Caenorhabditis elegans: one gene and its partners. The protein of the gene in region 1 interacts with the protein of each later gene in a pairwise test. Each region holds a gene or a part of one and is shown in the gene's direction. Other genes may lie near its edges.

Region 1 (5,088 bases):
CTCATCGTCTGGAGGTGGAGATAATGATGCAGGTTTCCGATGAGGAGGCGGTGGTGGAGCTCGTCTTGGGGCTGCAAAATTGTTTTAAAAATGAATCTTCCAATCTGTTAACCTCATAGGTATATTTAAACTATCTAATTGCTGTAATTGTATCTGCTTCACTCATTTTGAGAGATGATAAAATAATTGTTTTTCTTTCAATAAATGAGTCATACCACTAGGCACACACAGTGGCAGACGGAAAATTGGTCACTTCCGGGGGGTGGAACAATAATACCAACAGAAGTTAAATAGTGAATATATTTTTGGCAAGTGTTCACACAAGAATGACTATTTTAATCAAATGTTGGCGATAATCCAAGTAATTAATATAAGGACACAACCCAATTTTCTAAAATTTATTACTAGTACACTTCTTGGCGACAAAGGAGTAAAATCTGTCAAGTGGCACCTTTAGGCAAACAATATTGCGAAAAGCCTTTATACTTCTTTTTGACTACTTTCGCAATCGGTCACGCGTCTGTACAGATTTGATAGGAACTTTGAAGAAAATTGGGCATTTTTCGTTAACAAAAAGCAATAGGAAGAAGAACAGTCAAAAAACAATTTTAACACGGAAATCAGTTGTTCTACGATATTGTAAAAGTTAATAGAAAAAAAAATGATAGTAACAAAATATTTATGAATTTTCGTCTAGATTCTAACAACGAATATATAAATTGAAATGAGAACTTAATTTCCTTTAAAAATTAATTCGATTCACTGTTGGTGGAGTTTAAGGCAGATTTTTTTTTCGAAAAATTGACTGTTTTTTTTAACTCACAGAATCATTGTCAACCCGATTTTCGGTTCTCTCTTTTTCAATACTATGATCATATGATCTATTTAGTTATTATCAATAAATACAGACATAAATAGTTTTTAAAAAAATTATTTTTTAGTTTTTTTTTTCAAGAAATTTCGTAACTTTTATTTTCTCCACAGATAACAAAGCAAACGAAGTTTTTTGCTACGCCTCAATCAATTGTCGACAGTAAATACAAGACGTCTTCTCTGTTTCAGACTCACAAGGTGGCGGTGGTGGTTGCTTCCGGAATCTGTTGTCTCCGTCGTCCAGTTTATTTTGAAACTCTGCCATCATTTCTTTGACGGTCCTAGACGCCGGTGGAGTATCATCAGAATTTTTGCGATGGTTCATGTCATATTTCATACAGGCGATCTGAAAATAACTATAGCTCGTTCGAGATAACATTTTGGCTAAAAAATTGAAGAAAAAACGATAACACTAAAATATTATGAAATTAAGAATTAGTAATGAACGGGAACAGTCACAGCATGAGAAAAAGGCAACCGCTAGAAGAACAGGTTGAAGCAACAAAAAATCACACAAGACGCAGAGAATCAGGCATTGGAGACGCAGGGATATGGATGAGTCAGCAGCCGACGAAGACAAATTCGAAATAGCAAAAATGAAAGAAGTCTACGGAATTCACAAAGTGGATCTTTTGATATAAGGACAATTTTACTAAATAATAAATATGAATGAATACCCCCAAGTTGATCGCTCTGAAATCTGAAAAAGACCACAAAAACATTTTTTTTAACTGACAATAGCTCACGTAGCAATATAGGATCATACAAAAAAAATATACAAAATTATTAGTTTCGCTCCTTGCGAAAAAAGCCGAGTACAAAATCTACTTAATCCCGTTCGAATCCACTCCGAAATTGGAAGTGGTACTTCACGACAATACAAAATTTAAGCTGGCAACTGTCTTTTCTATCATATTCCCAATCGAAATCACAAATACCTCCCGGAACTTTCGAACAGAATCCAAAATGAGAACAAAAAATTGTAATAAAAAAATAACACTTTAAAGGTGCATGAGGTTATGCGCTCGTTGGGTCTCGCCGCGCTTTTCACCACTAATGCAATTTGAACGAGAAATGCGCGCGAGCGGCCATATTTTAGTTTTTCTGTTGTTTTTATTGTCATTTTTTTCCTTTTTCACTGCAAATTTGATAGTTAATCGACTTTTTTATGTTTTTACTGTGAAGTTTTTATTTTGTTATATATTGTTTCTTGCCTTTTTCCCAAAAACCTGAATGGAGCACACGAAAAAGTTCAAATCATTAAATCTTCACGGGTTTGATCGAAGTACAGAGGATTACGGAAAACGACCTTTTGTACTAACTGCCAAGCTACTTGAAGATCAGAAGAAAGCTATTTACGGATGTGCATTCAATCAATACGCAGGAATAGATGAGGAACAAGCGGTTGCAACTGTCGGAGGAAGCTTTGTAAGCGTTATTTAGCAGGAAACTGACAATGAGGTATAAATATTTGTTTTTCAGCTTCACATGTATTCTGTTCCCATCGACATAAATAACATTGAGCTGCAGTGGTCTTGTAATTTTCCTACCGATAAATCATCAAAGGTCGAACGAGAGGAGTCGCTCTTCACTGTTACCTGGTGTTACGACACATATGAAGCTGAAAACGACCGAAATCCCTTTAAAGTTGTAACGGGTGGAACTTTGGGTCACATTTACGTTATCGACTACGTCTCGAGGAAGCTGTCGAATGTAAATAATCAAAAATTACTGAAATAATTTGGAGTTTTAGCGTCTTCGGAGTGTTGGATGGGAAATCAATGACATTCGTACGTGTCCTGCCAACTCAAATCTGATTGTCTGTGCTTCATCAGATCAATCTATCCGGATTCATCATATTCGAAACGAAGCATGTCTGATTGTTATTGGGGGTCTCGAGTGTCATGCTGGAACAATTCTTTCTGTGGTTGGTTTATTAAATTTACTTACGTTTCGAATTTCTCATTTTAGGATTGGTCAACCGACGGAGACTTCATTTTATCGTGTGGATTCGATCATCAACTCATGGAGTGGGATTTATCTGTGAAACAAGTAAAGGAACATTTGGAACGAGCGTGCAAAGCTCTTCACCAAGATAAAATAAATGTGCTAACACAATCACAAGATATTCCGTATGTTTCGAAAGGAACAATGAGGTAAATCAATTATTCAGCTAACATTTTCTAGTTCCTTCTAGTATTTGATCAGTCCTTAACGCGAAAATTGTTGCTGTTGTTGTATATAAAAATATTTTTGAAACTTGAGTTTTGGATAAAAGACTGGTAAATAAAGAGACCAGGGCTATCAAATCATAATGTAATTCATTTTTGTATTTTTAGAAAGTCTGCAGTTTCTCGCAACATTCCCGACAAAGAAGAAGATCAATTGCTCGAACTTCACAGAGAGCTCATACCCCGACCGTACGTTGATTTTCGGCATCCATTACTTTTTTAAAGTTGTTTCAACGAATCTGGTTCTATCGTTTTCTTCTTTTTCAGGAGCTGCCTTCTTCCAATTTATACTCCATCCTCCGTATCAACTGATATGCATTCTGATTATGTGGATTGCATTCGATTTCTTATCGGTACTAACTACGCACTATCAAAAGGATGTGGCAATGAAAAGGCAATTCATTTTTGGAGATTTGGGCCACCTAAGGGAGAAGTTGAAAATCGCATTCATGGAAATGTTCTCCGTCCAAAGTCGTGTACAACGAAATTTCGTACAATGAATGTTCCGAGTGGTTCTGCATGGTTTATCAAATTCGCCGTTGATCCAAGAAGACGATGGCTGGTGTGCGGTGGAGCTGGTGGTTCTGTGATGTTTTTCGATTTGAGAAATAATGAAGAAACCAATCCGTAAGTAAAATATCAAGAAAAATAATTTCTGAGATGTTCGATATCTCTTAAAAATTATAGAAATATTTTTGCTGTGATTACCAGTATAAATTCCTGTTTTTTTTTTTACAGGACTCACACTTGTTCCGTTGGCTCACGTACAGTTCGGCAAGCTTCTTTCTCTACATGTGGCCGATTCCTAGTACTAGTAACTGACGAAGGATTTGTTTGTCGATTTGATCGTGTATCTGCGTCTGTCGACGCTAAGGACCTGGCAAAATTTTGAATATCATTCCTTCTCACCTTCAATTTTTTATATCTCGTTGTGATTTCATCTTCGATCATCTTCAGTGGATTTTACATTACAATTTTGCAGTTCCTAATGTCATCCCCAACCTCCTCTAAGGATTATTCTTCACCTAAACATAGCTTTATGTGTGAGTTTCGAAGAGATTATTTTCGTTTTCTGATTATCTAATTTTTCTAATTCAGTGACAGTCGACAGCAACTTACAAAGTGACAAAAAGAAGACGTTTTTGAATGTTCAGTGAGTTTTGAAAATTTTATTAGCTTTCATGTTATTACCTTTTTTATTTCAGATCATCTTCCTCTGCTGGGTCAACCAAGCACTGTCAAATTCCAATGTCAAAGGACGAGTATTTTGAAACACGCGGGAAACTCGACTCTGTTGATGTTATCGATCAATTCAGACAGCGTCAGCAATGAGCATTTATCGATTTGTCTGTACATGCAGTGTTCCTCACCATTCTCACTCTTGTCTCATTCCCATTCTTCTCTTTTTTTTCAATATTTTTTATTCTTTCCTTATTTTTGTCCGTTTCTATTTCCCGATGCTTGTTAATAAAATGAATTATTTCAGAGTCGCACCTTCTCACGCCAACCAACAAAATGACAACTGGAAACAATGATTTCTACTATTCAAACAAATACGAAGATGATGAGTTCGAGTACCGTCACGTTCATGTCACCAAGGATGTTTCCAAGCTTATCCCAAAAAATCGATTGATGTCCGAAACAGAGTGGAGAAGTCTTGGAATTCAACAGGTAAATATTTAAAATAGGTTTTTTCCTTAAGAAAAAAAGAAAAAGCGAACATAATTTCAACTGACATCAGAATAAGTTATCTCATCGTTTCATAGCTTCAAGTTTTTGTTTCAGTCCCCAGGATGGATGCACTACATGATTCACGGACCCGAGCGTCACGTGCTTCTTTTCCGCAGACCATTGGCAGCTACACAAAAAACCGGAGGAAATGTTCGTTCTGGAAATGCTGTTGGAGTTCGCTAATACTGTTCAAATCCACATTTCACATATATGGATCTCTAGCTCCCTTCCCATTCTTTTTTCCAAATTCTCG
Region 2 (3,267 bases), on another chromosome or scaffold:
CTAGAGCCAAATGACCATAATAAACTCTTTTCATTTCATAGTAAACAAATTTCTAGACATTAAAAAAAACCACGATGTAATCTGGAAACTCTTACGCCACCGTACCACTACAGTAACCCAACAGTATCCTTCCACTAACTCCAACTCAGTATCCCATCAAAAGAAAACAACTGAAACTTACTTGCACTACTCGAAAATTATACATAAATTTTTTCATATCTAGAAAAGTCTAGAATATACTAGGACATAATAGAACATATTGAGCTTATTTACAGATGCAGAGGCTTTTTAAGAGGGAAGCAATCACGAAACGTCCTCTTGGAAATCAATGCTGCCGGATTGACAGATCTCAAATTGTAGGCACTGACGGCTCAAAATGCTTAGACATGTTTAAGCTCGATCTTAGCTTGAATCCATGCCAATCAATAGACTTGTTTATACACGTCTGAGATTAAATGCATGACATCAGATCATCTCTCTGATTCAGATGAGAGAGAGCTGACCAAATACACTTCCTTCAATAAGACACCATTTACTATTGATCAAAGATTTATTACCAGTTATCAATGTGAGCAGCAATTGCATCCGCAACCGGTGACGGCTGTGGTTGTCGACGCTCCAGTTGTAGCTCCTCCAATAGTGGCCGTTGTGCTGGATCCAGTTGGGGTCATTGTCGATGCTAAAAAAGAATTTCCGTCCAAACTCAAACTAAAAGAAAATACTGAAATTTACCGGTAGGAGCTGCGGTTGAAACTGCAGCAGGTGGGGCGGTTGCCATGCCAGTTCTGGCCTTAACGAACTTTCCCTTTGAATCGCGCTGACGAGCTCCCTGTCGTTTAAATTGTTGTTTCGATTGAGGCATCGTAAATAGTACTGATTTTATTTGAAAATCGAAAGCGAAATTATTTGCTGATGACCTTTTGAGATAAGAGATAGACCCGGTCAAATTTGGAATGTTTCAGGTGCTTTTTGTTTTGGTGTGGTTTTTTAAAAACTCAACTGTTCTAACGAGGAACAAAATGAAATCGATCCATTAAAAATCGAATAGTAAAATATTTACAGTATCCGTTTAAAGGCACACTATTGAAGCTTTGAATCATTGAATTTCCAATACTTCCTGTCAACAATCTTTCGTAGAGTCTGTATAACTGCGAAGTCTGGCTTATCGGACGGAAACAGGAGTGTGCGGCAACTTGACCTCTATGCCTACTAGGCAACCTGCACCTGTCCATGTGCCTATAAGGCAGCCTACGCATACCTTCTTGTCTACAGGACAACTTTCGGCTACCTACGTTAATTCTGAAAGGACTGGAGAGAAATAAAAAATAGATAAAATTTGAGTGAATAAAGCTTTCAGAATTTAGGCATACCTCCTTGCCTATAATGCAACCTATGCCTGTTTGTGTTCCTACAACTCTGATGAATACTTTTTCATACTTCTATGAGTTTAAGAATAAAATACGGGAATCTGTAAGCATTGTACAAAATTTACATTAATTAATTACTCTATATTTTCTACATATTAGTGATGCATCTCCATTAGTACTTCAGTCTCTAATAATGCGTCTTCCCAAGAGTCACCTCTACAGTTTCGACATTTTGGGTAGGATTTTTTATTTTTTGGCTAAGCCCCCTAAGCAGCCCATATATAGTAAAATATCAAGTAGTGAAACAGTATTTGCCCAAAAAATGTGGTGGCGGTAGCGCGGTGTTATTTAAAAGAACTCTTAATTTGACAATATATAAATAACGAAATGGCTTTGTGTTGGAGCAGGATTATACTAGCCCAACTCGGAGAATAATAAATTATTCGAAATTTTCAAACTATAATTGTTTTTTTAACAAATATTATAAAACACAGAAAATGATAATTGACAATTACGATTCTCGTCCAGCCGTGTTTCCCAATTTCTCTTTCCATGAGGTCTCTCTCTCACGAATCGCTATTCTCTTTTTCGCGATGTCTCAGCTTGCGCATTTCGTGGATAGTTCTACTGACACATTTCTCGTAACTGGCGCATTTCTCGACTCTATTACGCGTATTTATTTTTCGTATTTTGCAACGTTTTCTTATAATTTTAAAGCCATTTGCTTTCAAATTTATGTATTTCAGTCATCGAAAATTATTAGAATATTGTAGCCAAACAGAAATATTATAATCAATCTAAAAATATACGTTTAATTCGTTTGGCTCTTTGAAGGCAGAAGTGACAGAATACAATTAAGTTAAATACGTTTAATCGGATTAAGTTTTCTTCAAAGATTACACTGAATATGTGAAATCATTTATTGATTTAGTAATATCGTTTTGTTTTTGTCTTCTCTGAACAATTAACCCGTTCCACCTCGTATTAAATTAATTAATTTATAATGTGATCCTTTTTTTGGCATGTCGATTCATTATGATATAACTTACTAATTTCCGAGACTTTCTTGCTTTATTTTTGGCATTATTAGAGGATGTTACAGGGTGATGATCAAGTACCACGTGTCGCGAAGCGCCCGACTCTGGGCTTACTGGAGCACCCTGCCACATCGAATGCTCAAGAAATACCCGGAGCAAACTATCTTCTACGCGACTTTCGGAGTAGCCACACTATTGATTGGCGGATATAAAATGAAGAAGTACTTGACAGAAAGTGATAAGCCATTCTACCGCGGATACTACGACGTCGTCCGTTCCAACGACCCAATCGCACAAAATTGGAGAAAACCAGAAGAATATCCAGCACCGTATCTTCTTTCAAGTGTTGAGACAGCTCATTGATCAATCGTCCAAAATAATCAACGAGAAGCCAATAAGTCGTAGACGATTTTCGATTTTCACTGTAAATTGGACACATTCGGTGTTTTATTTTTTAGAAGAGTTTTTAAAATGTAAATGAAAGTTTTCCTTTTTAAAATTTGTTTTCATTTGTCTACTGAAGTGTTTCAGCCACAACAATTATATTTTCTATATGTATTTATATTAATTTTATTTTTCATTTTTATCCAAAGTTTCAGGCTGATTCGAGCTCAAAGATGCACAATCTTCTGTCTCGTGCTAACGCACTCCTAGCGTTCACTCTTTGGGTGATGGCCGCAGTCACAGCAGCTTGTTTCCTGTCAACAGTTTTCCTCGACTACACTGTTCCAACCAAGCTCACTGTCAACGATGTCAAAGTGTAGGTTTTATAAGAGAAATAAAAAAATTGCGAAATTCTTTCAAGCGTTTCTCCGAAAACATTTTAAACGTATTTCTGTAAATCTTATTCCATTTTCAGGAGA
Region 3 (3,931 bases), 4.6 Mb from region 1:
TCGAAAATGTTTTCAAACTGAATAAAGAATAATTTGCTTACTTTTTGTTGTGTTTCCATTTCTTCATCACTTTCTGATTCACTTCCTGCGTAATCCACAAGGCCCATTTTGAGAAGAATTCTTCGAAGAAACGAATAATTTCAGACGAAATAAACAATACGAATATTGATTTCTTTATTCGAGAGGACTACACACAATAAGAAAGCAACAGCGCTCCAACGTACACCGCGCGAAAAACACAATTTTTCAAACAGCGATGGAGGGAAATTTCTTGAGTCCTATTTTGTTTCTTGTTCATTTGTTCCTTGTTTCATTTGCTTTTCTGTTCTCACTATTCAATAAAAATAATAATTTCAGTAAAATGTCAGCCAAAAATAAAGAGCTCGCCGAAGAGGACGTGCTCAACATGACATGCGACAAGCTTCGCAAGGAGTTAAAGAAGAAAAGGGCTTCGACTGCGGGAAAGAAATCGGAACTTCAATCGCGTCTTTTGGAGGTTTGAACTCAGTCGAAACAATGTGATTAATTTAACTTTTTCAGTTTCTCGCTGGCCAAAATAATGCCGGAAACGGGGAGGCAATCAGGGAAGAGCCGGAAGCCGAGGCTATGGACACCGACGAAGCACCTGCCAATCGCACATTCACAGTTGAAGAGGAAGAAGAAACTGAGAATACTACTGGCAGATTTGTTCGTAAGTTATATTCCATTTAGTTGAAATTTAAACAGCTTTATTACAGACGAGAATACTCCGACAAATGCGGTTGCTGTCGTTTTGGATGATGACTTGAGAAACCGTCTCTGTGGCAGTTTGGGAATCGATCTGCAAAGCTTCGAGGTGAAGTCACGCCCGAGAGTTCATCGTCTTTCGACAAGACTGTCTCTCCGCGCTAGTTCGTCGACTCCTCAAACATCTGAGCGACCAGGAATGCCGATCGAGAACAGAGGAATTACGCCAGTTCGTCAGCGTGCTCCATCCAGTGGAAGAGACAGATTCGCAATGATTCATGCAAGAGAGATGGAAAAAGAAGAAACACTCGGAGAGCGTCAAGAACGATTGAAGAAACGACACGAATTCATGACCGGCGACGTCCCAGAAGCTATCAGGAGACTTGCTACCCCGAAAAGTGTGCCAAGACGTGACCCAGTTGATAGATCAACTACAAGATCTGCTGCGCGCAATTGGCAAGTTCAGGATCCTGAGAAAATGTCCTTCCAATTCGGGGATAAATCTGCTGATGATTTTCCCGCTCTTGTCAGCTCACGAGCTGGCTGCTCATCGTCATCTGCTGCCACCACCTCTACCAAAAAGACAAAGTCCGTTGCAAGATCTCATGTGGACGTGAAGAAGCTCACCAAGTCACAAATCCCGAAACCATGCCGTTTAACTTCTCGAAAAATCATTCCTGCAACTGTCCCAGAAGATGATACATTCACCGAGTACATTTCCACGCCAAAAGGAACCACTCCAACTAGAGGTAACTATTCATATTTATCTTTTTTTCGCTAATTCATAGCAATTTTTAGTTCCACGACGTGCTGGTTACACACCACACTCTACGAGAAAAGTGTTCGTCGACACGACTCAATTGACGGATCGCGAGTTCACTTTGGCACTGGAGGAAGGATTAATCCCCGGAAGAGCTGCCACGAACCTCGAGAAACAACAAGTGGAGAACAAGAAGCGCCGTGACGACATTATCGCACTCAAGCGTAAAATGAATATCAAGTAGATATCTCAATTATTTTCTTATTTATCTTCACTCACTCGTCTCACTAGGCTAAACCTGTAAAATATTTCGTTGTTGACTTGTCGAGTTTCTGAAAATGAATTCTTTTAATTTATTACAATTCTCTTTATTTATTTTCTATTTATTTATTCCTCTATTCAATTGTTTGCGACAATTGTGATATCTTTGAATATGTCTTTTAATTTTTTTAGCAAGAAATATACGGTGGATCCGGATTCCCGAAGCGCAATTCGCGGCACGGTTTAATTTTTTAATTTACCATAAAAGCGCGTGCCGCGGAATTACTTTTCGGGTTCCACCTTCTATTTCTCGCGCTTATTTTGGACTTTAATTACTCTGACAATATAATATTAATCTTTTCTAGTGCAAAAATGGCGTTGTGGGTGGACAAATATCGACCAAAGGACTTGTTGGGAAAGGATGGCGTTGATTATCACATCGAGCAGGCCAATCATTTGAAGTTTCTCTCCGCAGACTGTATGCCGCATCTCTTGTTCTGTGGTCCCAGTGGAGCTGGAAAAAAGACACGGATCAAGTGTCTGTTGAGGTTTAATTATTGGTAAATTCAGTAAATAAAATAATATTTTTCAGAGAGCTTTACGGTGTTGGAGTCGAGAAAACGCAGCTCATCATGAAGTCGTTCACTAGTCCGTCGAATAAAAAACTTGAAATACAGACTGTCTCGAGCAATTATCACATCGAAATGACGCCGTCTGATGTTGGAATCTATGATCGAGTTGTTGTGCAGGATCTCGTTAAAGAAATGGCACAAACGTCTCAAATCGAATCAACTTCTCAAAGATCGTTCAAAGTTGTCGTTCTTTGTGAAGCGGACTCACTGACTCGTGATGCTCAACACGGACTTCGTCGAACTATGGAGAAGTACGCGAATAACTGTAAAATCGTTTTGAGCTGTGAATCCCTGTCCCGTATCATTGAGCCACTTCAATCTCGTTGCATCATCATCAATGTGCCAGCTCCAACCGATGAAGATGTGACCAAAGTCTTGCGGAAAGTGATTGAACGGGAGAGCTTTCTACTTCCGGAGAACGTTTTGCAAAAGATTGTGGAGAAGTCTGAAGGAAATCTGAGAAGAGCTATTCTGATGACTGAGGCTTTAAGAATGGAGAACGAGAGTGGTGTGGCTGAAAGTGTAGTAATTCCGGTTCCGGAATGGGAGATTTATATCCAAGAGACTGCTCGTCTGATCCTCCAGAAACAGAGCTCCGATATGCTTCTGAAAGTTCGCGAACGATTGTACGAATTGCTCTCCAGATGTATTCCACCAACTGTCATTTTTAAGGTGAGTTATAAGCACACAAATAGTATAAAATGTTCAAAAATATTTAGAAATACATTTTCAGAAACTTCTCGAGCATCTCCTTCCCAAATGTCCGCCACAAATTGCACGTGAAGTTGTCAGTGAAGCAGCGAAATTCGAGCATCGCCTTGTTCTCGGACAAAAAGCAATTTTCCATCTTGAAGGATTCGTCGCCGCTTTCATGGACATTTACCTTACTAATGCTTCTAAACCCAAGTGATCTCTGTCCCCGCGTATTATATTATTCTACTTTTGTGTAATCATAAACTTGAAACGAACTACATTATGGTTGTGTGGGTATTTACAGAAACAGCATATAATAAAAATCGTATCGCAAAGGAGAATAAAATGACCGGCGATAAAGCTTAAAATATTTAAATAGATTATGAAAATGACGTTATGCATCACTGTCCCGGGGTTGAGGTTTCGGGCTTTGCGCAGACTTCAGAAGACGATCGAGTTGGGCCTGGGTGGCTGCGGCATCCATCGGCTGGGAAACAGTGGAAGGAGAGCTCACCTTGCTCGGCTTGTCCTGAAATATGGAAATTCACATAGAAAAAAGATCTAAGATTGATTTACCTTATTGAGCAAGTTGGAGAAGAAATTGGCGAGTGGACTGTCCTTATCGGTAGGCTCTTCTTGCATAGTCCTCGGCTTGGGAGCGGCCGTAGTGGTTGAAGTTGCCAGGATGTCCATCAACTTCTTCAAGAAAGCCTGATCTTCCTCGGCTTCGATGAGCTGCTCTTTTGCGACAGGTCTAAGCTTATCGCGAGTCGGCTCTAAAGCTGAATCCACATCCGGAATAGACTCCTGAAATTAATCATGAACTCGGATTCTCCAATTACTTATGTAAAACTTACAC
Region 4 (4,297 bases), 1.4 Mb from region 1:
AGACGCACGGATTTATTCTGATGGATCTCGGAGCGCAAAAAGTTTGTTGTAGTACTTTTTTAAAATTACAGCTGAATTCTAATTTAATTAAGAATGTGAGTATTTCTTGTTTGTTGGTCTGAAAAAAGAGAAAAGTTAATTTAAAAACAGATAAACTTCGCTAAAAAGGAATTTTATTGAAAAATGTAAGCAAAATTACCATGAAAGCAGTTGCAAAAAAACTACCATAAATTTTTTTGCGCCCCGAGACCCATCTGAACAAATCCGTGTGCCTTTAAAAAAGCATGCCAAAATCTTGTGAAATTACAATATAAAAAATAAAAAAAATCCTGAAAGTTGAACTCCTTCTCTCAAAACAAATATTTACTTGAAGCAATCTAAAAATATGAAAAAGTGAAAAACCGACGGAACGGAACATCAATCTGCCAAGCCTTTGAAAATGTATGGAAAACGAGATTGAAATCCGGATTGGGCGGGAATCATGCCATTCAAAAAGAGCGAAATTGTTCTATAATTGCTGGTTGTGTAGTCAATATATTATCCGAATTGATTTTGAAAAATTCATAAGCAATAAAAAATAACGAAAATGGTTAACAAATAATAACAACATTTGGGTGTAATTTTAAAATATGAAAATGATTAATTTATTTTAGGAGAGCCCGTGGCAGTATCGGTGGATTCTGTGTCTAATTTTCCAATTTCTTCTAGGCTTTCTGGCTTTTCTTCCACAACTTCCTCTTTCAATTGAGCATTCTTCCGTTCTGGAATAATTGAAAGAAGAGCATCTTTCCAGTTTTTGTGAACAGAGTAATGAACCAGAATTTCATAGACTTGATTGATAGTGAGTACCTGAAATCAGAAGAATATTATGGGACAAAAATATGGAAACCGATTACCCGTCGAGATTTCATGAGAAGATGTTCATCTAAAGGCAATTTTGCATGACCAAATCCTTTTTCTTGAGCGATTCGATAGCACAATCCTTTTTGAGAATTATGATCCACAATTCCTCCAATTACATACACTTTCGTATCATCAAGATCGCTCAGGACATTTTCAGATTCAGAAGTCAAATAAACTATTTCCTCTGGTTTAAATAAATTTTCCAATTTTTCTTGGTGAAGATGGATGTCTTGATTCAGGTTGTGCTCATTACCATCATAAATCTCAACAAAACCAATTAAAACACTTGTTGTGCGAAAACAAAATTACTTTTCTCGATGGTCCATCGAACCCCACAACATGAAATTGAAATGGATCAGGACTGTGTCTGTTCGCAGTATAACACCATCCGATTTGCTGAACTGTACGTTTTTGATCCTTTTCAATCATCAAATCGTCAAATGACATGTCCAAAGCAATTCGTTGCTAAAAAGTTGTTTTAGTCTAAGGAAATTGTCAGATTTTACCAGTTGAAAACATTTTTACTGTATGAATGTTCAAAAGTTAATGTTAAACAAATTACTGGAATCGTATATTACCTTGCTATTAGACTGAGCCATTGTTCTGAAATCTTTTCGTTTCCTCAACTTTGAAAGATCTCCCGATTCTTTCAGCGCTGCTCGTTTTTCCTTTTTTCGAATTCTTTCCGCTGCACGTTTGACTAACTTCTTTTCTTCCCATTTCACCTTGTATTTTTGACGTCGCAGTTGCTTTTTCGACATTCCCTCTGGTACTGCTGGAATATTATAATTCAATACATACTGATGCAACGGAAAACTCACGTTGGTCTTGATTTTGATGCTCCACATTATCTTCAAATTTTTCGATTGTTTCCTCCGACATAATTTTCCACTTAAAGATGCCAAAATGATATTTAGAATATATTTTTTAATGTTTTCAAAAAAAAAAATGAGAGAAATCAGTGAAATGCAAACATGCTCCAATGACAAACTAACAAACGACACTCCGATTTCGCGTCAAAAATTTTTTCAATTAAAAAATTTATTTCGTTTTTAGGTTAATTCTTTTATTTACACTCATTGCAAAAATATTATCAAGAATGGAGGAAGAAACAATTAAAGTCGAAAATCTGGATGATTCAATTGTATGTTTTCCTTTTAAATTCCAAAAATATTCCATATTTTAGACTATCGATCGAAATCCTGTGCCACTTGCTTTCTGTGCTCGACCAACACTTCCCGCAAAAATTGGAATGAAGACAGAAGATGGAATCGTCGATCAACTTTTGGATCTTGTTGATCCTATCACCGTTGTGAATCCTACTGAAATTCGCCAGGCTCCATCATTGAAAAGCTTCGGATGCGACACTGAAAGTGAATTTGAGTTTTCTGGAGATGATAGCGATTTCGAAAATATCAACGATTTACGAGCCGGTGCACTTGATTCTGATGAAGAGTTTGACAGGCTAGTAAAGTTTTCCGCAAAGATTATTGAGAAGACACACAAGTCAGAGTACCCGGATGAAAATGGAAAAAAGCAGCGGAAGCCAAAAAAGTCACAAAAAACGGTAAGGTTTCATTATTTTGAAATGTTTTTTCGAATGATTAGATTTCTAGCGTAATGTTCACGAGTATGATGATATGCCACCACTCGAGAATCTCAGTATTGAATGTAAAGGACAATTGCTGGAATTTGGTTTTGTAAGCAAAGTCGTGGATTGTCAAGGTAAATTGTCAAAAATGTCAACCTTATATAAAATGTTAATTGAATTGGTATTTCAGTTGTTATCATTTCAACATGCACAGAAGTTCTCGACTTCGATTCATTTCTTTTCGATCAAAAAGGAAATGCGTTGGGACAAATTTATGACATTTTTGGACAAGTCAAAAATCCACAATACGTTATTCGATTCAATTCTTGTGAAGAGGTGAAGCTTTTAGTAGACAAATAAAATATATAACAGAAGTTTTATAGGCATCGATGATACCCATTGACATGAAAGTATATTATGCTCCTACAGAAGAACAATTTTCCAAAACTCCATTCAAAGGACTTAATCTTGCTGCAGCAAATAGGGATGCTATTAAATCCCTAAATCGTCGCATTGATCATCAAGAAGCTGTTGCAAAAGCTGGTGAAACGATGGCTCAGGTTGGCATCGGTAGTGACGTGGAGTTCAGTGATGATGAAGCGGAGAAAGAATTTAAACGCACCACATGTAAGATATAATTGAAATTTACTTTCAAATTCTAGTAATTTTCAGATACCCAACCAGCTAGTCAAATGTCAAGAGGATTCGATTCGAACAGAGGGCGAAAACGAGATCGCCGCGGAGGACAAAAAGTTAGATTTTCTGCTCAGAATCCACCTGCCAGATCGGATAATCTTGGGCCCATCCCTCAGCAGCCATCTGCGCCACCGCCACCTGCTCGTCCAGCACAATCAACCGAATCAAATCCATATGCCGAATTCGGATGTCATTCTGGATTCAACGGACGTTTTGGAATTTAATTTTTTGTTAAAATATCGTTACACATTGAATACTTTGTTGGATATATTGTAACATTTTTTCGTTGTTATTGTTGCACTTTTGGAATTGACGCGTGAATAAACTTCATTTTTACATTTTAAAATCATAAATTGCTATAATATCAAAATGACGAATAGTCATACTCACAACGGAAACCGAATTTGGTTCATCTGCAGCTGGGAAAATGGTCCAATTTGTTATGGAATGGCTCTGTGAGTTCAAATTCTTCGCAGCTGTGAGCTATGCTCTGGAAATCGTATTTTTTCAGTGATCTTATTGGGGGAATTTCTTTGATTGCTTTCTCAGTTCTTCTCGTCGGAGTCATATTTTTCGGATGGTTTGGAATATTTCCAAAAGTTATTCGAGTAAGCTTCACGAGTAATTCTAATTTTTGTATGTTTTCTTTCAGCGTAAACTTCACGATTGAATTTTATATTTTTATTATAACGTTCAGAAGAAGGCGAGGCTCTATTACTCTATTTTAATAAAATATTTGAATTGACTAAAGTTTAATAAATATTATGCAGTGCTATGAAAAACTTGTGGGTAAAGTGGAATAGAGAAAAAAAGAGAAAAGAAAGGAACGGCAGGAAGAAGCTGGCTGAAAATTAGAATATCTAAAAAAAACAATTAATAAAAAAAGATTAACTGGAAGAAGGAAAGCAGCGGGTGGGTTGGAAAAGTGAAAAAAGGAAAGGCAGTATAATAGGAAAACAAGGATTTTTGAAACATAGAAAACAAGGAAAGCAAAAAAAGAAAACAACTGGAAATAAGGAAAGATTTAAAGCTCAGGCTATAATGAGTATGTAATTGAACTGAACAAATTAAAAAATAAAAACAAAAAAGATTCTCCTGCGATAAGAC

The links.
Region 2: the proteins of mes-6 (region 1) and K12H4.5 interact in a two-hybrid assay, tested with the Caenorhabditis elegans proteins (one large-scale study listed by BioGRID).
Region 3: the proteins of mes-6 (region 1) and rfc-3 interact in a two-hybrid assay, tested with the Caenorhabditis elegans proteins (one large-scale study listed by BioGRID).
Region 4: the proteins of mes-6 (region 1) and F25H8.2 interact in a two-hybrid assay, tested with the Caenorhabditis elegans proteins (one large-scale study listed by BioGRID).

The regions. Positions count from the first base shown.
Region 1 is NC_003282.8:8,509,331-8,514,418, forward strand, and holds mes-6 (Polycomb protein mes-6), read left to right. Parts: upstream 1-1,953; 5' UTR 1,954-2,106; coding exon 2,107-2,301; intron 2,302-2,355; coding exon 2,356-2,586; intron 2,587-2,626; coding exon 2,627-2,800; intron 2,801-2,844; coding exon 2,845-3,029; intron 3,030-3,212; coding exon 3,213-3,293; intron 3,294-3,371; coding exon 3,372-3,731; intron 3,732-3,842; coding exon 3,843-3,996; 3' UTR 3,997-4,092; downstream 4,093-5,088. Other genes in the region: FYVE, RhoGEF and PH domain-containing protein tag-77, read right to left, coding at 1-71, 1,069-1,210; C09G4.4 (uncharacterized protein), read left to right, coding at 4,093-4,147, 4,203-4,257, 4,310-4,436; cks-1 (Cyclin-dependent kinases regulatory subunit), read left to right, coding at 4,620-4,775, 4,890-5,018. UniProt on the Caenorhabditis elegans protein: Polycomb group (PcG) protein. PcG proteins act by forming multiprotein complexes, which are required to maintain the transcriptionally repressive state of homeotic genes throughout development.
Region 2 is NC_003281.10:8,042,014-8,045,280, forward strand, and holds K12H4.5 (uncharacterized protein), read left to right. Parts: upstream 1-2,473; coding exon 2,474-2,767; downstream 2,768-3,267. Other genes in the region: K12H4.6 (uncharacterized protein), read right to left, coding at 564-679, 733-862; spcs-3 (Signal peptidase complex subunit 3), read left to right, coding at 3,022-3,164, 3,264-3,267.
Region 3 is NC_003282.8:13,093,650-13,097,580, forward strand, and holds rfc-3 (Replication factor C subunit 3), read left to right. Parts: upstream 1-2,112; 5' UTR 2,113-2,119; coding exon 2,120-2,295; intron 2,296-2,339; coding exon 2,340-3,051; intron 3,052-3,112; coding exon 3,113-3,289; 3' UTR 3,290-3,431; downstream 3,432-3,931. Other genes in the region: prcc-1 (Proline-rich protein PRCC), read right to left, coding at 42-107; C39E9.12 (SAP domain-containing protein), read left to right, coding at 362-496, 541-691, 738-1,475, 1,525-1,730; dli-1 (Dynein light intermediate chain), read right to left, coding at 3,467-3,601, 3,649-3,879, 3,930-3,931.
Region 4 is NC_003282.8:9,930,351-9,934,647, forward strand, and holds F25H8.2 (H/ACA ribonucleoprotein complex non-core subunit NAF1), read left to right. Parts: upstream 1-1,884; 5' UTR 1,885-2,002; coding exon 2,003-2,047; intron 2,048-2,089; coding exon 2,090-2,470; intron 2,471-2,519; coding exon 2,520-2,628; intron 2,629-2,684; coding exon 2,685-2,830; intron 2,831-2,877; coding exon 2,878-3,121; intron 3,122-3,166; coding exon 3,167-3,414; 3' UTR 3,415-3,529; downstream 3,530-4,297. Other genes in the region: trmt-10A (tRNA (guanine(9)-N(1))-methyltransferase), read right to left, coding at 640-849, 897-1,166, 1,213-1,368, 1,482-1,678, 1,725-1,785; spe-29 (uncharacterized protein), read left to right, coding at 3,560-3,645, 3,702-3,798, 3,843-3,860.